3 linked regions of the Anolis sagrei genome follow. The protein of the gene in region 2 interacts with the protein of the main gene of each other region in a biochemical or structural test. Links are inferred from orthologs where the notes say so. Each region holds a gene or a part of one and is shown on either strand. Other genes may lie near its edges.

Evidence for each region.
Region 1: the proteins of CUL4A (region 2) and RBX1 form a complex in vitro, tested with the Homo sapiens proteins (6 studies listed by BioGRID, with this or other methods). The link is inferred for Anolis sagrei from reciprocal best matches to the Homo sapiens genes CUL4A and RBX1.
Region 3: the proteins of CUL4A (region 2) and DDB2 form a complex in vitro, tested with the Homo sapiens proteins (2 studies listed by BioGRID, with this or other methods). The link is inferred for Anolis sagrei from reciprocal best matches to the Homo sapiens genes CUL4A and DDB2.

Annotation. Positions count from the first base shown.
Region 1 is NC_090025.1:161,877,886-161,885,543, forward strand, and holds the start of RBX1 (E3 ubiquitin-protein ligase RBX1), read right to left. Parts: upstream 3,037-7,658; 5' UTR 3,000-3,036; coding exon 2,922-2,999; intron 1,361-2,921; coding exon 1,282-1,360; intron 174-1,281; coding exon 103-173; intron 1-102. UniProt on the Homo sapiens protein: E3 ubiquitin ligase component of multiple cullin-RING-based E3 ubiquitin-protein ligase (CRLs) complexes which mediate the ubiquitination and subsequent proteasomal degradation of target proteins, including proteins involved in cell cycle progression, signal transduction, transcription and transcription-coupled nucleotide excision repair.
Region 2 is NC_090023.1:108,629,659-108,636,944, reverse strand, and holds the start of CUL4A (cullin-4A), read left to right. Parts: upstream 1-4,237; 5' UTR 4,238-4,421; coding exon 4,422-4,572; intron 4,573-7,286. UniProt on the Homo sapiens protein: Core component of multiple cullin-RING-based E3 ubiquitin-protein ligase complexes which mediate the ubiquitination of target proteins. As a scaffold protein may contribute to catalysis through positioning of the substrate and the ubiquitin-conjugating enzyme.
Region 3 is NC_090021.1:279,746,796-279,753,755, forward strand, and holds the start of DDB2 (DNA damage-binding protein 2), read left to right. Parts: upstream 1-3,924; 5' UTR 3,925-3,971; coding exon 3,972-4,058; intron 4,059-4,173; exon of another isoform or gene 4,174-4,276; intron 4,277-6,507; coding exon 6,508-6,694; intron 6,695-6,960.

The DNA of each region.
Region 1 (7,658 bases), on a different chromosome or scaffold from region 2:
CAAGTTCCCCTCCCCACAAGCTTTGATCTTCATAACAAAACCATTTATGGTTCTTTCCCACAAATTTTGATGTTTGTACGAACTGAAAAGTAGACATCTTACATTACAGACACCCCACGCAACAGTGCATTCTTCAGAGGTAGCTGATGCTTGGTTAGCTTGACATTCTATGCCTGGAAGAACAAGATTAAATAGAAACATTGATTATTACTGAAACGATAACTGGTGATGAAATATCCACATTTTCTGTTAAATATAGATGTTTCGAGATAACAAAAGAGGCAGACACATGATGAAAAACAGAATTAAAGTATCATTAGACCCACTTCCCATTGGATGAGAGGAATCTGGATGTACCATTCACATGTAATCCTAGTTTATTTTTCTAGTTGATTAACTGATAGGTAACAGATTCCAACTATGGATGTACAGTGGGAAGAGGTGATGGAGGAGTACTTAGCACTAAATCCTGCTCTATAAACAAAGGTAGTTATGAAATCTCAAATCAGTCAAACCAGGCCATTGCCTAGAACTGTTTCATTATGCTCTGTACCTTCGAAGTTATCTAGAAATCTGTCTTAATAACACATTATCACACAGGATGGATCTTTTAATCTGATTCTGCATGACAATTTTTACATTAATGATCCCAGATGAAGAAGCAATTTTGTATATTGCAAGAACTGCAATGTAGACATGTAGATACTATCCCAAACAATATAGTTGTACTGAGCAACTACAATTGCAGTCACAATATTACATGAAAGAATGGCAAGTATGACCTCCTAATCCTCAGGTTCTTCATAGGAGGCCAGAAAACTAATTTAAGTTTATATTGCAAATATAGCCATAACTTAATGCACTAATTATTCCTCTGTAACTAAATTACTCCTCTAATCTTATATGTGTAGTTTAACTACACAATTCACCATTTCTTTTCGTTGTCAGAGAAACTGCAAGTCACTTCTGGTGTGAGAGAACTGGATGTTGCCCAGGAGATGCCCGGATGTTTTACCTTCCTGTGGGAGGCTTCTCTCATGTCCCTGCATGGGAAACTGGAGCTGACAGACAGGAGCTCACCCCACTCCCCGGGTTCAAACCATCAGCAGTCCTGTCGGCACAAGGGTTTAACTCATTGCGCCACCAGGGGCTTCTACAATTAATCGTGAATTGTTGAGACTGCTATGAAGTTATGTTTTCATCATCTTGCTCCTTTTTATTGTCATCCTCTGATATCCACAATAACTATATATACAGCACAAATATTCTGGAGGTACTTACACAGATCCATAATGTGGTTTCTGCAAATGGCACAGTTATCAACCACGATGTCCCAAGCCCAGAGTGCAACTGCATTCCACTAAAGAATGAAATTACAATTAATGCAATTTTTCTTTGTTACTTTTTTTTGCATCGCTGTTGAGCCTAGCAAAACACAAAATGAGGCTTCACATGAGTTTGTGAAACCATGGATAATAACAAACCCTGTTGAAATTAAGGACTTTTTTGGCCCAAGAAAACCATGCTAGAGGACCTAGAGAATTCCCAAAGAGAACATTATTTGTCAAATGTGGATAAATTTCCAAATAGCATTCTTATTGATGTAGAAGTTGTACTGTAAACAAGCCAGTTTAACTAATTTTTTTTAATGTGTGTTGTCTTCTTACCTGTCTGAACCTATCTCCCCTTACAAACCACCAAGGACGTTAAGATCATCCAGGGAGGCTCTGTTCTCAGTCCCACCACCTTCGCAGGCATGACAGGTGAAGATGAGAGACTGGCCTTCTCTGTGGTGTCTTCTCAGCTGTGGAACTTCCTCCCCAATGAAGTTAGGTTTGCCCTCTCCCTCCTTACCTTCCATAGAAAACTCAAAACCTGCTGTGGGATCAAGCATTTGAACAATGGCTGGAGCAACTGGGAAGATAACGTTTTACGTGACCACAATGAATGGAACTGGATTATGATTTGCAACTGGCAAAATGTTTTTAAATTAAAGCATCAGAGGATGCTTGCCATAGATAAAGGTGAAACGTCAGGAGAGAATGCCTCTAGAACAGTGGTTCTCAACCTGGAGTCCCCAGATGTTTTTGGCCTTCAACTCCCAGAAATCCTAACAGCTGCTAAACTGGCTGGGATTTCTGGGAGTTGTAGGCCAAAAACATCTGGGGACCCCAGGTTGAGAACCACTGCTCTAGAACATGGCCATATAAGCCTGAAAAAACCTACAACAACCCAATGTTTTTATTCCCGGTAATTGCCATGAACATAAATTCCATATTAACTTGAATTGTTATTTTGAAAAGCTTCCCTATTTTTAAAATTATCTTATCCCAAAAAAGTTGTTGCATTTCTGATTCTCAAGTTTTATTATTCTGCTGATAAAGAAGAATATTTCTGACTTGTGATGAAATATCCACATTTTCTGTCAAATATGGATATTTTCCCATAGTCTGGGAAATACTATACTAGAGAAATCTGTGATTTCCCGCCACATTGCGGTGCATCCCACCTTTGAAAACCAGAGGAGCACAAAGGCTCCCGCTCAAACATGTATCTCAACTGTAAACAAACCTTGGGAAACGAGGGCGCCAATGGAAAGCACTTTCATAGAATCAAAGAGTTGGAAGAGACCTCGTGGGTCATCCAGTCCAACCACCTAAAGAAGCAGGAATATTGCATTTAAATCACCCCTGACAGATGGCCATCCAGCCTCTGTTTAAAAGCTTCCAAAGAAGCTTCCTGTTCGGGTTCTAGGCGAGGTCTGGACCAAAGGAACGCGGCCCACTAAGCCTCCCCATCACTTTTCGCTTTCACCTCACATTCAACATGAAAGATGGTTTCCGGGGGAAAAATAACCCTTCCCCAGGCCCCGCTACGTCCGCCACCTTCTCAACCCCAAGGCCTCGCCTTTTTCCTCTCACCTTCTTCACTTCGAAACGCTTTTTGCCGGCGTTGCTGTTGGTCCCGCTTGGTGTGTCAACATCCATCGCGGCAGCCATTTTGGATACAACTCCCGGCAGACTTTCCAGAACTGCGCATGCGCACGCTCGGTAAAAAAAAAGGAAAAGAAAAAAAGAACAAAATCTCGCGATACTTCCTGAGAAGTTTGTTTATTTATTTATTTATATATATGGATGCCTCACCCCCGCCCCTCCTTACAAACAGGTGTGCGCGAGCGAGGGAGGGAGGGAGCGCGCGCGAGGGTAGGGTGGGGGACCCAAAGGGGGCGGGGCTTGGTCACGTGCCGCCCTTTCCTCTTAAAGGCGCTGCTCAGGGCGGAGGCCTTTCTGCAGGGCCGTGCGGCGTCGTCGTTGTCGTCGTCGTCTTTTTACTGCGCTCCAGTGAAAGGACGGGAGGGAGGGAGGGAGGGGGGGGGGAAAGGGGCGGAGCTCTGAGGAAGGTTATTTAAAGGGATACGCACCAATTACTCTTGTATGAAATGCTGGGGAAACACTTGAAAACACTGTGTCATAGAATATATCCATAGGAATAAACCTTGAGGGCTACACAAAATCCATTTGTGTCGAGAGGAATACATGTCATAATGATTTAGTCAGAATCAGTGTGCCCTCCCCCTCTTAATATGTATGTAAACACACCCTTCAACACCAAATAGCTTTACTTGAAGGCAACCTAAATGCGTGAGCTGTGGCTCTTCCTGGGATTCGTCTCCAGCCTGCTTTCCCTTCTTCCCTCCCATCTTCCTTAATTAGGATGACTAATCCTTGCTAAACCATCGTCGCTCCAGAATCCATTACTGGGCTTTTGTGTGGAGCGCCTCCTTCTCTCTTCCCCCCCCCCCCCCCCAATATCCAGAGCTTTGTCTTAATATTAATTTTATTTCCTCAGGAAAGGCGCATCTGCAGCGCTTAGTGAGGCCAGGACATCCCCTCAAACCAATTCTGTCCAAAGGAAGAGTCTCCATGCCTTGGAACTGGCATTGAGGCGTCAAAGACATACACAGATCCCTAGGCCTTGGGAAGGCCTTGGATTGGGATTCATCAGGCATGGGCCAACTTGGGCCCTCCAGGTGTTTTGGACTTCAACTCCCATCATTCCTAACAGCCTCAGGCCCCTTCCTTTCCCCCCTCAGCCGCTTAAGCGGCTGAGGGGGGAAAGGAAGGGGCCTGAGGCTGTTAGGAATGATGGGAGTTGAAGTCCAAAACACCTGGAGGGCTCAAGTTGGCCCATGCCTGGGATATATAATGTTAGGCGATCCCTCGTAGCTCAAGGATGATGGTCGTCCAGATGTCATGTCTTGGTGGTGGAGCCCTATTCTTGATCATCTTCTCCCACACTAAGGACATAATCTTTTCCAGGTGGAAAGCAGTCCTGGTCAGGGTTGGCTCGACGCGCCTTTTTCTTGGCACGTTTCTCCCTCCGTTCGTGCCTCTTCGAATTCTGCAGCACTGTTGGTTACAGCTGACCTCCAGTTAGAATATATCCATCTTGCCCTTGGTCGGCTCCTCTTCCTTTTTCCTTCCATTTTCCCCAGCATCATTGTCTTTCTAAGCTTTCCTTCTCATGATGTTGCCAAAGTACTTCATCTTTGCCACTACTATCCTTCCCTCCAATGAGCAGTCGGGCTTTATTTCCTGGAGGATGGACTGGTTGGATCTTCTTGCTCAAGGGCCAGTTCTTGGTGTCTATGCCATACTCTACGCCAGTGTTTCTCAACCTGGGGGTCGAGACCCCTGGGGGGGGGGGGGTTGTGAGGGGGTTTCAGAGCGGTCGCCAAAGACTATCAGAAAACTCAATATTGTCTGTTGGTCATGGGGGTTCTGTATGGGAAGTTTGCCCCAATTCTATCATTGGTGGGACACAGACTGTTCTTTGATTGTAGGTGAACTATAAATCCGAGCAACTACAACTCCCAAATGTCAAGGTCTATTTTCCCCAAATTCCATCAGTGTTCACATTTGGGCATATTGAGTATTCGTGTCAAGTTTGGTCCAGATCCATCGTTGTTTGAGTCCACAGTGCTCTCTGGATGTAAGTGAACTACAACTCCCAAACTCAAGGTCAATGCCCACCAAACCCTTCCAGTATTTTCTGTTGATCATGGGAAAATACATCCTGTATATCAGATATTTCCATTTTGATCCATAACAGTAGCAAAATTACAGTTATGAAGTAGCAATGAAAATAATTTTATGGTTGGGGGTCACCACAACATGAGGAACTGTATTAAGGGGTCATGGCATTAGGAGGGTTGAGAAACATTGCTCTATGCTCATCAGAGGGAACCAAACTTCTGAAGGACAAAAAATCAATTGCACTACGTTGGAAAGAACACTACCAAAGCCTCCTGAATCACAGCTCCAATGTGGACGAAGAGGTTCTCTCACAAATCCTGTAACAACAAACCAGGGATGAGCTCGCACTGCCAACTAGTTTGGAAGAAGTCAGCAATGCCATTGTTGTTGTTCATTCATTCAGTCGCTTCCGACTCTTCGTGACCTCATGGACCAGCCCACGCCAGAGCTCCCTGTCGGCCGTCACCACCCCCAACTCCTTCAAGGTCAAGTCAGTCACTTCAAGGATACCATCCATCCATCTTGCCCTTGGTCGGCTCCTCTTCCTTTTTCCTTCCGTTTTCCATAGCATCATTGTCTTCTCTAAGCTTTCCTTCTCATGATGTGGCCAAAGTACTTCATCTTTGCCACTACTATCCTTCCCTCCAATGAGCAGTCGGGCTTTATTTCCTGGAGGATAGACTGGTTGGATCTTCTCGCAGTCCAAGGCACTCTCAGAACTTTCCTCCAACACCACAGTTCAAAAGTATCTATCTTCCATCGCTCAGCCTTCCCTAAGGTCCAGTTCTCACACCCATAGGTGACTGGGGAATACCATTGCTTTTAGTATGCGGGTCTTCATTGCCAGTGTGCTGTCTCCACTCTTCACTATTTTATTGAGATTGGTCATTGTTAGCAATGCCATTAGCCAACAAAACAGTAACAAAGCCAGAAGATATATAGTGCCTCTGTACAAAAAGGGCATCTCAGGTCATGTCTTCAAGGTAGAATTAATGCCTTCAATGCTATGCCATGGTTCAATGCTATAATGTCATCGGAGCTATGGTTAAACAAGATCTTTATAACATTCCCTGCCAAATAGTGTTGGTGTGTGTCACCAAAGGGTCATTCCATGCCAAGTGGTCTAAACCTTCCCACCATCATGTCTCAAATTTTATTCAAATTTTAGCCATAGCACCAGTGAGGGGTTAAAACTTTCCCAAAATTTGAGGTCTCTAACTGCAATAGTTGCTGATCCAGACTCCCTTACCTGAAGGGTCGCCAGTCAGAGTGCGCATGACATTTAAGAAAATGCTATTTTTGGGGTCTAACAAAATTGAAATGAAAGGTATGTATGGCTTGTAAATTGGCTTGTAAATTGAAATCCTGCAGTTTTTGTTCTGCTGAGTTCGATGAAATTAATTTCAGTGTTATGGATGCAAAATCCAGTCAAACAAGTTGACTCAAAGTGTGCATCAAAATGTGTCAAGACTCATTTTGAAAAATTTGGCTTCTTGTGGAAGCAAGGATTGGTGGGAAAGCTTCAGTGAAGACACCTTTTTCCATAAGTTTTTTAGGAGTGAATTTGCCTTCTGAGGGATAGATTTCTCACTTCCTGTTGTCTCACTCCTGTTCTTAACTATGAGTCATTTGTAACTCTGGGACTGCCTGTACTTGCTTTTAAAAACTGCCCTTTAAGCCAAAGTTTCCTAACATCAGTTATCGGTAGGCACAGTAACACACTTACTGTACTATGTTAGCACTGGAAAATAAAAAGGAGTTATGTTTATTTTACAGACTTGACCTACTAACCAGAGGTATTAATGCTACACACGCTTACTTGAAAATTAAGCCTCCATTGAACTCAATGGATTTTTCTCTCTCTCAATATGGGCCTTCATGGTTGACTTCATCCATGCTTTCTCAGCATCTTATCCCAAAGACTGAATGCATAATATGATTCTTCCTTATTAAGATTTCTGTGGAAGATCCATTTCAAAAGCAAGAAATGTCAGTAGTCTATTTTAAAATTGTACAGTAAAAACCTTTTGAAATAAAATGTTTAAAAATATTATGCAAGTTTTAACATATAGGCATTCTGGTCTAATGGTAGGAACACAGAAATCTTAATTAGATTTTAAATCAGTCATCATAAGCCTTTAACAGTGATTTTGATTTAACATTTTTTTCTTCATGTTGCTTTTCAATTTCTTCATGCACTTTCTTCTTAAGTTGCCTTCCAAATGTGGAACAGTTCATAAATATATGTACAGATTAGGCTGCAAATCTATGCATTTACTTGTGAATTAGTCCTATTAAAATCAAGTGAGATTTCTGACTAAAAATGTATTGGATAGTAACTTGCTGCATCTGATATGGTTCTTCTGGCCTCTAACAGCAAGATGTGATGTTACAGCATCAGACAGCAATTTCGGAATTGATTTCTCTCTTTTACCTAGGTTATATGTAACTACCTTGTAGAAACTTTCATTGAAAGGTAGGATAAAAACATTTTAAATAAATCACTATAAATTGGGATTTGGAAAATAGAGAGTAAGGAAACATAGAAGACCAAAGAGGCCCTTCCATATCATTAACCAATGTAAATGTCTACCATGCCTAGATATTGTAAGTTGTTCCAGC
Region 2 (7,286 bases):
TGTCGGTCTTCAGTCCTGCTGGCACAGGGGTTTAACCCACTGCGCCACCAGGGGCTCCAATGCAATATAATAATAATAATAATAATAATAATAATAATAATAATTTATTATTATTATTATATGTAATTTTACTAATAATATTACAATATAATGGTATAGTACAATATAGTAATATTTAATATTGATCTTGTGTTGTTCATTTGTTCAGTCGTTTCCGACTCTTCGTGACCTCCTGGACTAGACCACGCCAGAGCTCCCTGTCGGCCGTCACCACCCCCAGCTCCTTCAGAGTCAAGCCAGTCACTTCAAGGATACCATCCATCCATCTTGCCCTTGGTCAGCCCCTCTTCCTTTTTCCTTCCATCTTCCCCAGCATAATTGTCTTCTCTAAGCTTTCCTTTCTTCTTGTGATGTGGCCAAAATACTTAATCTTGACCTCTACTATCCTTCCCTCCAATGAGCAGTCGGGCATTATTTCCTGAAGTATTTCCTGAAGTACTATGCTAATAATATATTGCTGAAACATTCACACCTAGTTTCAGCAGAGAGCTCTTTGCCCCACCCCAGTCATTCCACAGATATATAAACCCATTTTCCTATTTCCAACAGACCTCACTACCTCTGAGGATGCTTGCCATAGATGCAGGCGAAACGTCAGGAGAAATGGCCCTATAGCCCGAAAAAACCTACAAGAACCTAGTGATTCCAGCCATGAAAGCCTTCAACAATACATATGTATTTATATTTTGTAAGCCACTCTTGAGTCCCCCTTGGGGTGAGAAGGGCGGCATATAAATGTCGTAAATAAATAAATAAGTATTGGGTGAGATCTAGGATGCATCTGCAATGTAGATTTAAAGACAGTTCGGCACCACTTTAATTGCTAATGCACAATGCTACGGAATTATGGGAGTTGTAGTTTTGCTCAGAGGTGGCTTTGCCAATTCCTTCCTCTGAAATATAGCCCACAGCACCTAGGATTTGTTGGCACTCTCCTGTCGAAGTACTAACCAGGGCTGAATTTGCTTAGCTTCCAAGTTCTGATGGGAATCTGGTGCCTTTTGTGAATAACAGATGGGTTTAATGTATTGTCAAAGGCTTTCATGGACTGAATCACTGGGTTGTTGCAGGTTTTTTGGGCTGTATGGCCATGTTCTAGAAGCATTCTCTCCTGACGTTTCACCTGCATCCTCAAAGGTTGTGAGGATCTCACAACCTCTGAGGATGCCTACCACAGATGCAGGCAAAACATCAGGAGAGAATGCTTCTAGAACATGGCTTTATTGCCAAAAAAACTACAACCACCCAGCTGGATTTATGCCAAAATCTTATGAAAAACCTGTTGACTCAAAATTGCCTGTTTACCTTAAACAGGATCAGCCTGGAAACTGCCTCATTGTAATTTTCTTGCTTTTATTCAAGGACCTTTAGCAAAGCCCCTCCCCAAAATAATCCCAAGCACATTGAATTTCAATAACAGCAACTTATTTGAAGCTGCAAGGCCATTCAGTAATAATCAAGCTGGCCAATTGCAACATGCACACTTGCCTAAAGCAGGCAAGAGTTCTTTATCCCAACCTGGCCATTCCACAGATACATAAACCCCACTTGCCTAGTTTCCAACAGACCTCACAACCTCTGAGCTTGCCTGTCATTGATGTGGGCAAAATGCCAGGGAAGAATGCTTCTGGAACATGGCCATACAGCCCAGGAAAGCTCACAGCAACCCATTTTGACACAACTTATTTCTAACCCATATCTCATTAAGGCTCAAAGTAGAGTACAACATAGAATTAAAATACAACATATAACTAAAAACACATAAAACCAGTTAAAGCACATAAGTTTAAAGCAAACATAAAACTAATAGAAAGCATAACACATTCAAATAATCAATTGATGCCAATTTAGAGAGTAAAATCTACTGGGTATACCTTTGTTTATATTTTTGTTGGGTTTGTTTTTTTTTTGCTTTGACCTTTAAACCAAAAGCAATAAATGTGACACGCTCTAGAATCATATTTGCTCAACAGGTTTGTTCCCAAGGCCATGTGCCTCCCAGGGCATCTCCATTTGAGGAGCATTATAAGCTTTCCAGGGGATTTAAAGAACAAATTCCAGCAGATCCAATGACAGGCAGCTGTGGTTTTTGGGTTTCTAACTAACAGATCTATTGCGGCAACATATGTTTTCTGGGCTTGAACCCATTTATCTTCAAAACTGGTTGAGGGTATCCCTTTATTGACTCCTGTTCGATATCCCCTTCCACATGGGTGGCTGAGATCAAGGCAAGCTTGCTTTCTGGGGGCCCTTCCACATAGCCCTATATCCTAGAATATCAAGGCACAAAATCTCACATTATCTGAGTGTGGACTCAGACAACTCAGGGCCCTTCCATACAGCCCTACATCCCAGAATCTCAAGGCAGGAAATCCCACAATATCTGCTTTGAACTGGGTTTTCTGAGTCCACACTCAGATATTGTGGGATTTTCTGCCTTGATATTCTGGGATATATGGCTGTGTGGAAGGGCCCTCAGAATGTCAAGGCTGAAAATCCCACATTTTCTTACTTGAACTGGGTTATCTGAGTTCACATTGCCATACATTCCAGTTCAAAGCAGATAATGTGGGATTTTCTTCCTTGATATTCTGGGATATAGGGCTGTGTCAAAGGGCCCCCAGTACAAAGCAGATAATGTGGGATTTCCTGCCTTGATATTCCACACAGCTCTGTATCTCAGAATATCAAGGCAGAAAATCCCACAATATCTGCTTTGAAGTGGGTTATCTGAGTCCACACTCAGATAAAATGGGATATCCTCCTTTGCATGAGGGAGAGGGCCTTCTCGATGGCGGCCCCCCAACTCTGGAACTCACTTCCCAAGGACATCAGACATGTCCCAACTCTGGCAGACTTTAGGAGGAGCCTGAAAACGTGGTTGTTCCAGTGTGCCTTCCCATAATATGGAAAATCCTCAGCAATCTGCCCTCAAAATGCACTTTACCATTGATTTAGGACTGACTGCGTTCCTTCATCTCTCCTTGAAAATTCTACCCAGTTATATCCCACCTTGTCCATGTCCAGCATTATTTTTAATTTTAATCTATTACATTTGGCCTGGCCATTGGTTTTAAATACTTGTGTGTTACTGTTGATTTATTTTTTTTGTTATGTGTTTTATATTAATTGTATTGCTTTTGTTTGTTATTGCTTTTGTTTATTGATGTACTGTGGGCTTGGCCTCATGTAAGCCGCACCGAGTCCCTTGGGGAGATGGTAGCAGGGTATAAATAAAGTTTTATTATTACTGTCTAAGGCTTTCATGGCCGGAATCACTGGATTGTTGTAGGTTTTTTCGGCCTATATGGCCATGTTCTAAAGGCATTCTCTCCTGACGTTTCGCCTGCATCTATGGCAAGCATCCTCAGAGGTAGTGAGGTCTGTTGGAACTAGGAAAAAGGGTTTATATATCTGTGGAATGACCAGGGTGGGACAAAGTACTCTTGTCTGCTGGAGCTAGGTGTGAATGTTTCAACTGACTACCTTGATTAGCATATAATGGCCTGACAGTGCCTGGAGCAAACTTTTGTTGAGAGGTAATTAGATGCCCTTGTTTGTTTCCTCTCTGTTCTTGTGCTGTTGTAATTTTAGAGTTTTTTTAATACTGGTAGCCAGATTTTGTTCATTTTCATTTTATTTTTATTATTATTATTATTATTATTATTATTATTATTATTATATTTCCTGCCCTGATATTCTGGGGGTCCTTCCACACAGCCCTGTATCTCAGAATATCAAGGCAGAAAATCCCACAATATCTGCTTTGAACCGGGTTATCTGAGTCCACACTCAGATAAGTTGGGATTTCCTGCCCTGATATTCTGGGGTCCCTTCCACACAGCCCTATATTTCAGAATAACTAAATAGAAAATCCCACATTATCTGAGTGTGGACTCAGATAACCCAGTTCAAAGCAGATATTGTGGGATTTTCTGCCATGATATTCTGGGATATAGAGCTGTGTGGAAGGGGGCTGAGTCCACACTGCCATATATTCCAGTTCAAAGCAGATATTGTGGGGTTTTATTCTTTAGCCTCCTCTGCCGAAGACAGCAAGCGGCGGCGGCGACTCCCAGGATTCAGTAGATTCCAAGCGGTGCCAAGGCGCGTCAGTCCCACCGTGTAGGAGGCGCCCGCTCTGTCCCGCCGTGATCCCTCCTTCCAGCGAAGGAGGAGGGGGAGGAGCCATTTTGTGAGGCGCCGCGAAGGACGGCCTCTCTCTCTCCCTCCTCCCCGCGAAGGCCTGCCTGCCCGCCTGCTTCCCTTCCTTCTCCGGCCCTGAGGAGATGCGCCTGGTTGCTTCCCGGAGGCCCAGGGCCGGACGGGAGGGAGGACCCCAGGGCCACTGAGCCCCGAAAATGGCCGGCGAGCCCCAGAGGAAGCAGCAGCAGCAGCGGCACTTGTCGGCCTTGGTGGGGCACACCAACGGGCTCACCAAGGCCGCCTCCCTGGCCGGGGGCCGCAGCGGCGCCGCCACCTCCAAGAAGCTGGTCATCAAAAACTTCCGAGGTGGGTGTGGGCCCCGGGCTGCCCTACTGCTGAGCTCAGCCTCGGCATTCCTCCGCTCGCCGTCCTCCGGCCCTTCTCCCCTCAGGAAGGGCAAGGCCTCCAAAAGCTGTGGAGAACTCTTGACACCTCTTTTTGGGGGAGGGGGCGAAATGGGGCCTTCTGCACCATTCTCAACACGACAGGTGGAGCCTGGCCACAGAGTAGGCAGGACTTTGGAGTACAAGGTGTCCTGAAAGTCTCTGTTTGAGGAAGACTGAACAAAGTCCTCTTATACCCATAGATCAGGTGTGGTAACTTTGGGGACACCTTTTAGACCAGGCAAAACTTGGGCCCTCCAGGTGTTTTGGACTTCAACCCCCACAATTTCTAACAGCCAACCTGCTGTTAGGAATTATGGGAGTTGAAGTCCAAAACACCTGAAGGACCCCCAAGTTGGGCCATGCCTGTTTTAGACAGTAGTCTCATAAATGGCAAGTCTATATAAATAAAAATGTAATGTTCGTTTGTGGGATTAACATAACTCCAAAACCGTTGGACGAATTGCCACCAAATTTGGCTACAAGACACCTACTAACCCAAGGAGTGACAACCACTAAAAAAATTGATTTTGTCATTTGGGAGTTGTAGTTGATGGAATTTATAGTTCACCTACAATCAAAGAGCATTCCGAACACCACCAACGATGGAATTGAACCAAACGTGGAACACAGGACTCCCATGACCAACAGAAAACACTAGAAGGCTTTGGTGGGCATTGACCTTGAGTTTGGGAGTTGTAGTTCTTCTACATCCAGAGAGCACTGTGGACTCAAACAATGATGGACCTGGACCAGGCCCGTAGCCAGGATTTCGTTTCGGGGGGGGGGGGGCTGATTTTTTTTCAGGGGGGTTTCGGGGGGGGGGCTGAGTCTGAGTGAAAGAGGGTCTAGCCTAGCAAACCATTACCCCAATACCCCCATGCATATGGGATATATTGAGTATGGTGATCAGATCATGATATGAATAAACATAACAGTTTAAATAATGCACCAGTAAGGCCTTTTCGCGAACCACCATGAGAATTTCGTGGGGGGGGGGGGGGGCTGAAGCCCCTCAAGCCCCCCCCCCCCCCCCCGGCTACATGCCTGATATGGACCAAACTTGGCACAGATATTCCATATGTCCAAATATGAACACAGATGGAGTTTGGGGGAAATAGACCTTGACATTTGGGAATTGTAGTTACTGGGATTTATAGTTCACCTACAATCAAAGAGTGTTCTGAACCCCACTAATGACAGAATTGGGCCAAACTTCCCACACAGAACCCCCATGACCAACAGAAAATACTTAAGGCCATCCATTCCAACTCCCTTCACCAGGGCAAGGAAACATAATCAAAGCCCTCCTGACAAAGAGCCATCCAGCCATAGATATTAATAGATAGATATGATTCACAGACACAGAGATATAATATCATAGATTTGAAAGGACAATGATATGTTGCATGTTGAGTAGGCAAACCAGACAATCTCCACATCAACACTGACGAAGAAACAGCAAGAAATACTATTTACCCACAAGCATCAAGAAATTATATATATTAGAAACCAACACTTTCTCGTTACTTTATTTTCCAGATCACCAGACTGGGCCACAGCAACGCATAGCAGGGGACGGCTAGTATTCAATACAAACAAATAAATACATGCATACATACATAATCTATATATATAAATCTGTTAGGTTGGTTCAACGGGACAGCAAAACTCAAAAAAACCCCAACGAAACTTAACCAAAATTCCCATGCCCATAACACAACCCACAAGGTACAAACATATCTACTCAAAATGAAAAACAACACAACAACACACTCACAAAACGGCAAAACAACAAAACTAAAAAAACCCAATGAAACTTAACCAAAATTCCCATGCCCATAACACAACCCACAAGGTACAAACATATCTACTCAAAATGAAAAACAACACACTCACAAAACGGCAAAACAACAAAACTCCACAACCCCCCAGCGGAACTTAACCAAAATTCCCATGCCGATAACACAACCCACAAGGTACAAACATATCTACTCAAAATGAAAAACAACACAACAACACACTCACAAAACGGCAAAACAACAAAACTAAAAAAACCCAACAAAACTTAACCAAAATTCCCATGCCCATAACACAACCAACAAGGTACAAACATATCTACTCAAAATGAAAAACAACACAACAACACACTCACAATATGGCAAAACAACTGAGCATGCGCATTGGCGCCCAGCCGCAAGTTCCTTGGGCATGCACACAGCCTTCCGGCCAACGTTCCCTCTGCAGAAGCCATGCCCACTCCAAGCACCGGCGCGCCGCTTCCCGCACACACACATCCCCTGCCGCATGCACACACACAACCACACGCTCCATCACTCCCCCCGCCGCCGCACACACACACGCAACCCCACGCTCCATCACTGCCCCGGGAGCCGCACACACACACGCAACCCCACGCTCCATCACTCCCCCGGCAGCCGCACACACACACACAACCCCACGCTCCATCACTCCCCCGGCAGCCGCACACACACACACGCAACCCCCCCCCGCTGCCGCACACACACACGCAACCCCACGCTCCATCACTCCCCCCGCCTCCGCACACACACACGCAACCCCACTCCCCCAGCCGCCGCACACGCACACGCAACCCCACGCTCCATCACTCCCCCC
Region 3 (6,960 bases), on a different chromosome or scaffold from region 2:
ATGCCCGTTGGACTATTTGAGGCTTCTGAACAGTATTCAAAGGCAAACCCATGCGGAGCATGTTGTAGTAGTCTATTTGAGATGTAATGAGAGTGTGGACCACCGTGGCCAAGTCTGGCTTCTCAAGGTATAACTTGTATAATAATTATGTGTGCACAAGAACTATAGAATCAAAGAATTTGAAGGCGCCTCATATGCCATCCAGTCCAATTCCTTGCTCAGTGCAGGCTCTCCAACTTTTTGAAGACATCCAGAGAAGAAACCTAGCCACCTATCTAGGCAATTAGTTTCAAAATCTACCCTCCTGTAACTTAAAACCACAGGGCTTTATAACTGGCTTCTCCAAGACTGAAATGATCTGCAGAAAGAGATTTGACAGCTAAATCAGCTGTCAGAATTCAAGATACAACTGTAGACCTATCTCTAACAACAGGCCTATCTAGTCAATTTTAACTATTAATTTTAAAATTTACATTCCATGACGATTATATTTTAATCTTTGCTCCATGTATTTAAATATGTGTATTTTATAGAGTTGTGTTTTAATATATGCATTTTGTTGAATATATTTTATGATGATGTGTTAGTGTTGTGCCTGTCTCAAACCATAGGAAGAGGCAGGTAACAAATTAAATATATTGTTGCCGTTATTATTTAAACTGGGGCTCATGTACACTAACCACTTAGTTTGGTTTGGAACTAATTTTGTTGTACGGACAATGAGACTGGCCATTCTAGAACAGGTTTGAGGCCAGGAAGGTGATTATATTAACCATAAAATGTGACCTTGAACTGGTTCCAGAATCTGCAGCATCTGCTGCTTGGCAGCATCCAGAGAATGCAGATTTCCCCACTATTTCCTTGCTGAGTTGTGCACCAGAACTCTGGAATCATACAGGGCAGGATGGGGGGAGGAGGAAAAGAGTTAGTAGTGGAGGTAATCAATTACTTGTCCCAGATTTTGAGCATCTGGAGATGCCTCAAGATTCAGAAGGCAGAAATTCTCAAGTGCTGAAATCCATAGCAAAACTTCTATGTAAGAAATTGGCAGAAAAGTCCCACCTGCACGAAGAAGCCAAGAATTAAACACAACCAGGATTTGAATTACAGGATGTAATTCTTTTCGAACTGCATCACCTCAACCTGTAAGGTATTTCATTGTTTGCCCATCTAAACCTCTTTCTTAAGGAACAAAGCCTTTCTTTCCTCTTGATATGCTTTTTCATTGGGGAGGTAGCCTTACATTAATCTATACTAACTTTGAACTTTCCATAAAAATAGTAGCTTTAGATGAACAAATACAGTCTGTTGACTGATATTGAGAAGTGATCGCCATGAACTGGTATCACAAATACATTATGTATATTGACTTATTGCTCTAATGGCATTTCCTTTTCTAGGAAAAGACATAGGGCATGGGGAATATTTTTAAAAAAATGAGAATACCATTACAACAATAGTCAATACACATGGCAGAATATTGACACGAATATGCTGTATATTTATGAGTTCACCACACTATTATATACAATAGGAGTTGAGTATCCATGGGTTTTGGTATCTATGAAGGAGCCATGGAACAAATACCAGCAGATACCAAGGACCTACTACATTTAGGCCCTATAGCAACAAAGTAGTGGATCCCATAGTTGATATAGTGTCACATTTGTTGCTATATATCCTAAATATAACACAATACGTCCTTGGTATCTGCTGTTTGTTCCATGATCCCATCATAGATACCAAAATCCACAGATGATCAACTCTTATTGTATACAACGGCATAGTTAAATTGTGTCTCCTATAGAAAATGGCAAAATAGAGTTGCTTTTTGAGTTTTAAAAATATTTATTTTCAATCTGTGCATAACTGAATCTGTAGGGAGCACACAACTCCCCTATTATGTCAGCTCCACTGGCTGCCAATCTGCTACCGAGCACAATTCAAAGTGCTGGCTTTAGCCTGTAAAGCCCTAAATGGTTCTGGCCCAGCTTACCTATCCGAACGCATCTCCCTCTATGAACCATCAAGGTGGTTAAGATCTTCTGGGGAGGCGCTGCTCTCGGTCCCACCTGCTTCACAAGTACGGTTGGTGTGGACGAGAGAACAGGGGCTTCTTAGTGGTGGCTCCTCAGCTCTGGAACTGTCTCCCCAGTGAGATTAGATCAGCACCCTTCCTCCCGTCCTTTAGAAAGAGAGCAAAGATATGGTTATGGAACCAAGCTTTTGACTAGTAAAATAACGCAGTACAAGAAGCAATATGGAATATGTGCAATCGACATCTGGAATGGCCGTCTACGTGCGTGGATCATGTGATTTAAATGTTTTATTAGGTGTTTTAATTCTTATATTTCATGTTTTAAATGTCCTTTTATCTTATGGTGAATTGTCCTATTGATGTTATGCTTAGTTATATGGTGTTGATTTGTGATTTGATTTATTTATGTATGGAATTTAATTTTGCCGTTATTTTTGTGTAAATTGCTTTGAGTCCCCCAGAGGTGAGAAAAGTGGTGCAGTGGAATCTCGCTTATCCAACCTTCAGTCATCCAACGTCCTGTATTATCCAATGCAGTCTGCCGCCCGCCTGGATCCACAACTGTTTCAATACATTGCAATGTTTTGGTGCTAAATTTATAAACACAGTAATTACTACATAACATTACTGTGTATTGAACTGCTTTTTTGTCAATTTGTTGTAAAACATGATGTTTGGTGCTTAAGTTGTTAAATCATAAGGTTTTTGATCGAATGCTTATGTTTTAATTATTACTTGTAACTGTGTGTTTTAATGTATTGGGGTTTTTTTTGGCATCTAATGCCCGCTGTAAACTATCCTGTGTCCCTCTGTGGAGGTGAAAAGGATGGGATAGAAATGCCCAACATAAATAAATAAAAAATAAATAATTTGACATTTAAAAGACATTTTCCTTAATCCCTCCTTATTATCCAGCATGCATTGTAATGTGGCTCAGTCTGTGTATATGTGCTTTGTGTGTGAATATATGTGCATATTTGTATATATGTGGTTTTGTGCATGCATATATACACGTATATATTTGTATATATGTATATATGTGTTCGTGCGTATATATATGTGTGTGTGTGCGGTTTTGTGCATGTGTTGTAATGTAATATTTTTTTGCTGTATTTTTCAGTGTTTTATGAGTGATGGTCACTCGTTGGCCTGATACGTGTATTGCATCCAAATTTGGTGTGAATTCGTCCAGTGGTTTTTGAGTTATGTTAATCCCACAAACGAACATTTCATTTTTATTTATATAGACTAGCCATTCCCTGACACGCATTGCTGTGGCCCAGTCTGTGTATATGTGCTTTGTGTGTGAATATGTGTGTATATATTTGTGTGTGTATATATGTGTGTGTGTGTGTATGGTTTTGTGAATAGTAAGCTAAATGGAGACAGCTAGTAAATAATAAATAGGTGCCAACTTTTTTACTATGGAGAGCCACCAGTACAGAGCCCACATACTTTAAAAGGCACCACATCCCATTTGATGTTGGAAACTAAGCGGATTCAGCCCTGGTTAGTCCTTGGAGGGGAGACAACCAACACACAATGGGTCCTGTGGGCTCTATTTCAGAGGAAGGGACTAGCAAAACCACCTCTGGAGTACTCCTTGCCTAAGAAAAGCTGATGAATGTTATGGGATCACCATAAGTTGGCCTAGAGCAGGCCTGGGCCAAGTTGGGCCCTCCTTCCAGGTGTTTTGGACTCCAACTCCCACCATTCCTAACAGCCTCAGGCCCCTTCCTTTTCCCCCTCAGCCGCTTAAGCGTGAGGGGCCTGAGGCTGTTAGGAATGGTGGGAGTTGGAGTCCAAAACACCTGGAAGGAGGGCCCAAGTTGGCCCAGGCCTGCTGTAGGCCTCGCCCGCCTCAAGACTTCCGCGCCCTGTGGCTCCTCCTCCTCCTCCTCTTCCGCCTCACAAACAAACAAAAAGTCTTGTTATGAAACTCCCAAGGAGGCGCTTCTTTCCCGCGCCTTTCAGGGAAACACAAGCGCCTGAGGAGGCGGCGAAGGAGGCCGCGGGTGAGGTGAGCAGACCTTTCATTTTACATGGCCTTCAGTAGGCCCCGCCCCGAGGAGGGAGGCCTCGCCTCCGGGCTTTCTTGAGGGGGCTCTCAGTGGGGAAAAGCCGTAGGAAAAGCCCTCCCTCTTTCCTTATTTGAAGTCTGAGGGGAGCCTTCAGGCGTGCATGTGAAGGCGAGAGAGACAGATCCCATTTCCCCACTATTTGGAAGTTATGTAAAAGGTAAAGGTAAAGGTTTTCCCCCCTGACCTTAAGTCCAGTCGTGCCCCTCTCTGGGGGTTGGTGCTCATCTCCATGTCTAAGCCGACACTTGTCCGTAGACACTTCCAAGTTCATGTGGCCAGCATGACAGCATGGAGCATCGTTGCCTTCCCTCCAAAGCAATAACATATTGATCCACTGGCATTTGCATGTTTTCGAACTTCTAGGTTGGCAGAAGCTGGGGCTAACAGCGGGAGCTCACCTCATTCTCTGGATTCGAACCTGCGACCTTTCGCTCATGCACTTTTGGTTATGTACTTACTTATGTACTCACTTTATTTTGTTTTTGTTCCCTTCAGGCTATCTCCAGGCATGGGCAAACTTGGGCCCTCCAGGTGTTTTGGACTTCAATTCCCACAATTCCTAACAGCTGGTAAGCTGGCTGGGATTTCTGGGTGTTGAAGTCCAAAACACCTGGAGGGCCAAGGTTGGAAAATACTAATCTACACAATTGAATTTATGTAGTTTTGTACCTATCAGCTGTTAGGAATTGTGGGAGTTGAAGTCCAAAACACCTAGAGGCCCAAGATTGGAAAATACTGATCTGCACAATTGAATTTATGCAGTTTTGTACCTATCGCTGTTAGGAATTGTGGGAGTTGAAGTCCAAAATACCTGGAGGGCCCAAGCTTGCCCATGCCTAGGCTATCATGACAGTCACAGTACGTTGTTGTTGGGAACAGACACTAGAGATCTTACCTCACCACACTTTGAAGATGATGTACTTCCAGTTTGGATATATTTGGGAAATCATAATAATCACACTGTTATAATTATTGCATGCTTTTTCTCTTTCAAAGAGACTTGAAAGCAGCAAACAGGGCTGAATGAAACCTAGACGATTTCAAACCTCAAGGCTATTATAAAAACTAGATTTAAACCTAAGATGATGTAAAAATAAACAGTTCAAACCAATAATGCCTATTTGAAAATACAAAAAAAAATCACACAACGCACACACACACTGGCTCTGTCTTAAAAGCTTTATTCTTTGACAGCCTCAAAGCCAGTGTTCTCTCAAAATTTATCATTCTGAGGGAAAATAAATTCTTAGCAAATTTATTTTTTATTTATCATATCAGAAACAAACCGAGGGTACAGTTGTAATATTTTCAAAAACACAAAGTGTTAAAAACTTGGCATTATACTAAATGTCCTTTGACCAGTAGCTGGCCACTTGGAGTGCCTCTGGTGTTGCTATAAGAAAGTCCTCCATTGTGCTCAGGTTGCATTGTAATAGGTAGCCTGGGGTTTGCTCTTCTCCACACTTGCATGTTGTGGACTCCACTTTGTGGCCCCATTTCTTAATGTTGGCTCTGCATCTCGTGCCAAAGTGCAGTTTGTTGAGCTCCTTCCAAGTTGCCCAGTCTTCTGTGTGCCCAAGGGGGAGTCTCTCATCCAGCATCAGCCATGGGTTGAGGTTCCAGGTTTTAGCCTGCCACTTTTGGACTCTCGCTTGCTGAGGTGTTCCTGCAAGTATCTCTGTAGATCTTAGAAAGCTATTTCTTAAGGCATTGGCGTGCTGATATCTGAACAGCATGGGCCGGAAATGTCACTGCCTTGGTCCTTTAATTCTTAACAAATAATGCCTACCTATACACACACACACATATCCAGATTCAGTATCCCATATCCAGAATTCCAAAATCTGAAATACTCCCAACATTAATTTATAATTTGGATTAAATCATTATAATCATATTTATTATTCAAAACAAGTGTATTTTTTGGACTTCATATAATAAATATAGCCATTACTCATATTAAAGGGACCTAGTTATCAGCTAAGGTTTGAGTCTCATATTTATTATTCAAAACAAGTGTATTTTCTTGGACTTCATATAATAAATATAGCCATTACTCATATTAAAGGGGCCTAGTTATCAGCTAAGGTTTGAGTCTAGATTGTTTGTATAGATTGTTTCTAGGGTCATTATATAAAGGATAATGTAACAGATACTGTATTACATCATCTCTTTCTCCTGACCCACAAATACAAAGTCGTTGGGCATGAGGGATCCCTCTACACCTTCTCTCTAGCCAGAAAAAAAATTGGACATAGGAAAGTGTTATATCTGTCACTATCCACTTTTAGTGTTACTTTTTAACATATGTATGTTACCTTATATCTTTAAATAAAATGTTGAATGTTCAGCGACAATGATGCTTCTTTGCTCCTTGGTCTCTTTCAGTGTTTGAACAGAATGGCCCCTGGAAAAGATTCAAAAGACAAGAAGCATCTCAGGACATGTGGAAGTACATCAGAAAAAGAGATGAAATCAAATAGGAAAAGAAAACGTGACTGTGAAGATCTAGAAAATGGGCCACAAACCAAAAAAATAAATGTGAGGAAAGCTCCCAAGAGTCTGGACAAAGCAGGTAATCTTGAATTGTCATTATTATTATTATTCCACTTTATCTCTCTAAAAAGACACTCAAAGTGGTTCTTATTATTTTCTCAAAATTCAATTGTATTCTGTTCTGTTTGTGTTGTTTAATTATGCAACCATTCAGATATGTAAAATTTCCAGAAATTGTGAAGCCACAGGAAAAAAGGGCTTTTCCCTTCAAAATGAAATTTTCAGGAAAAAAAGTATTAATCCCACTTGATAGAATGAAAGTTATTTAGTGACTTTAGGAACATA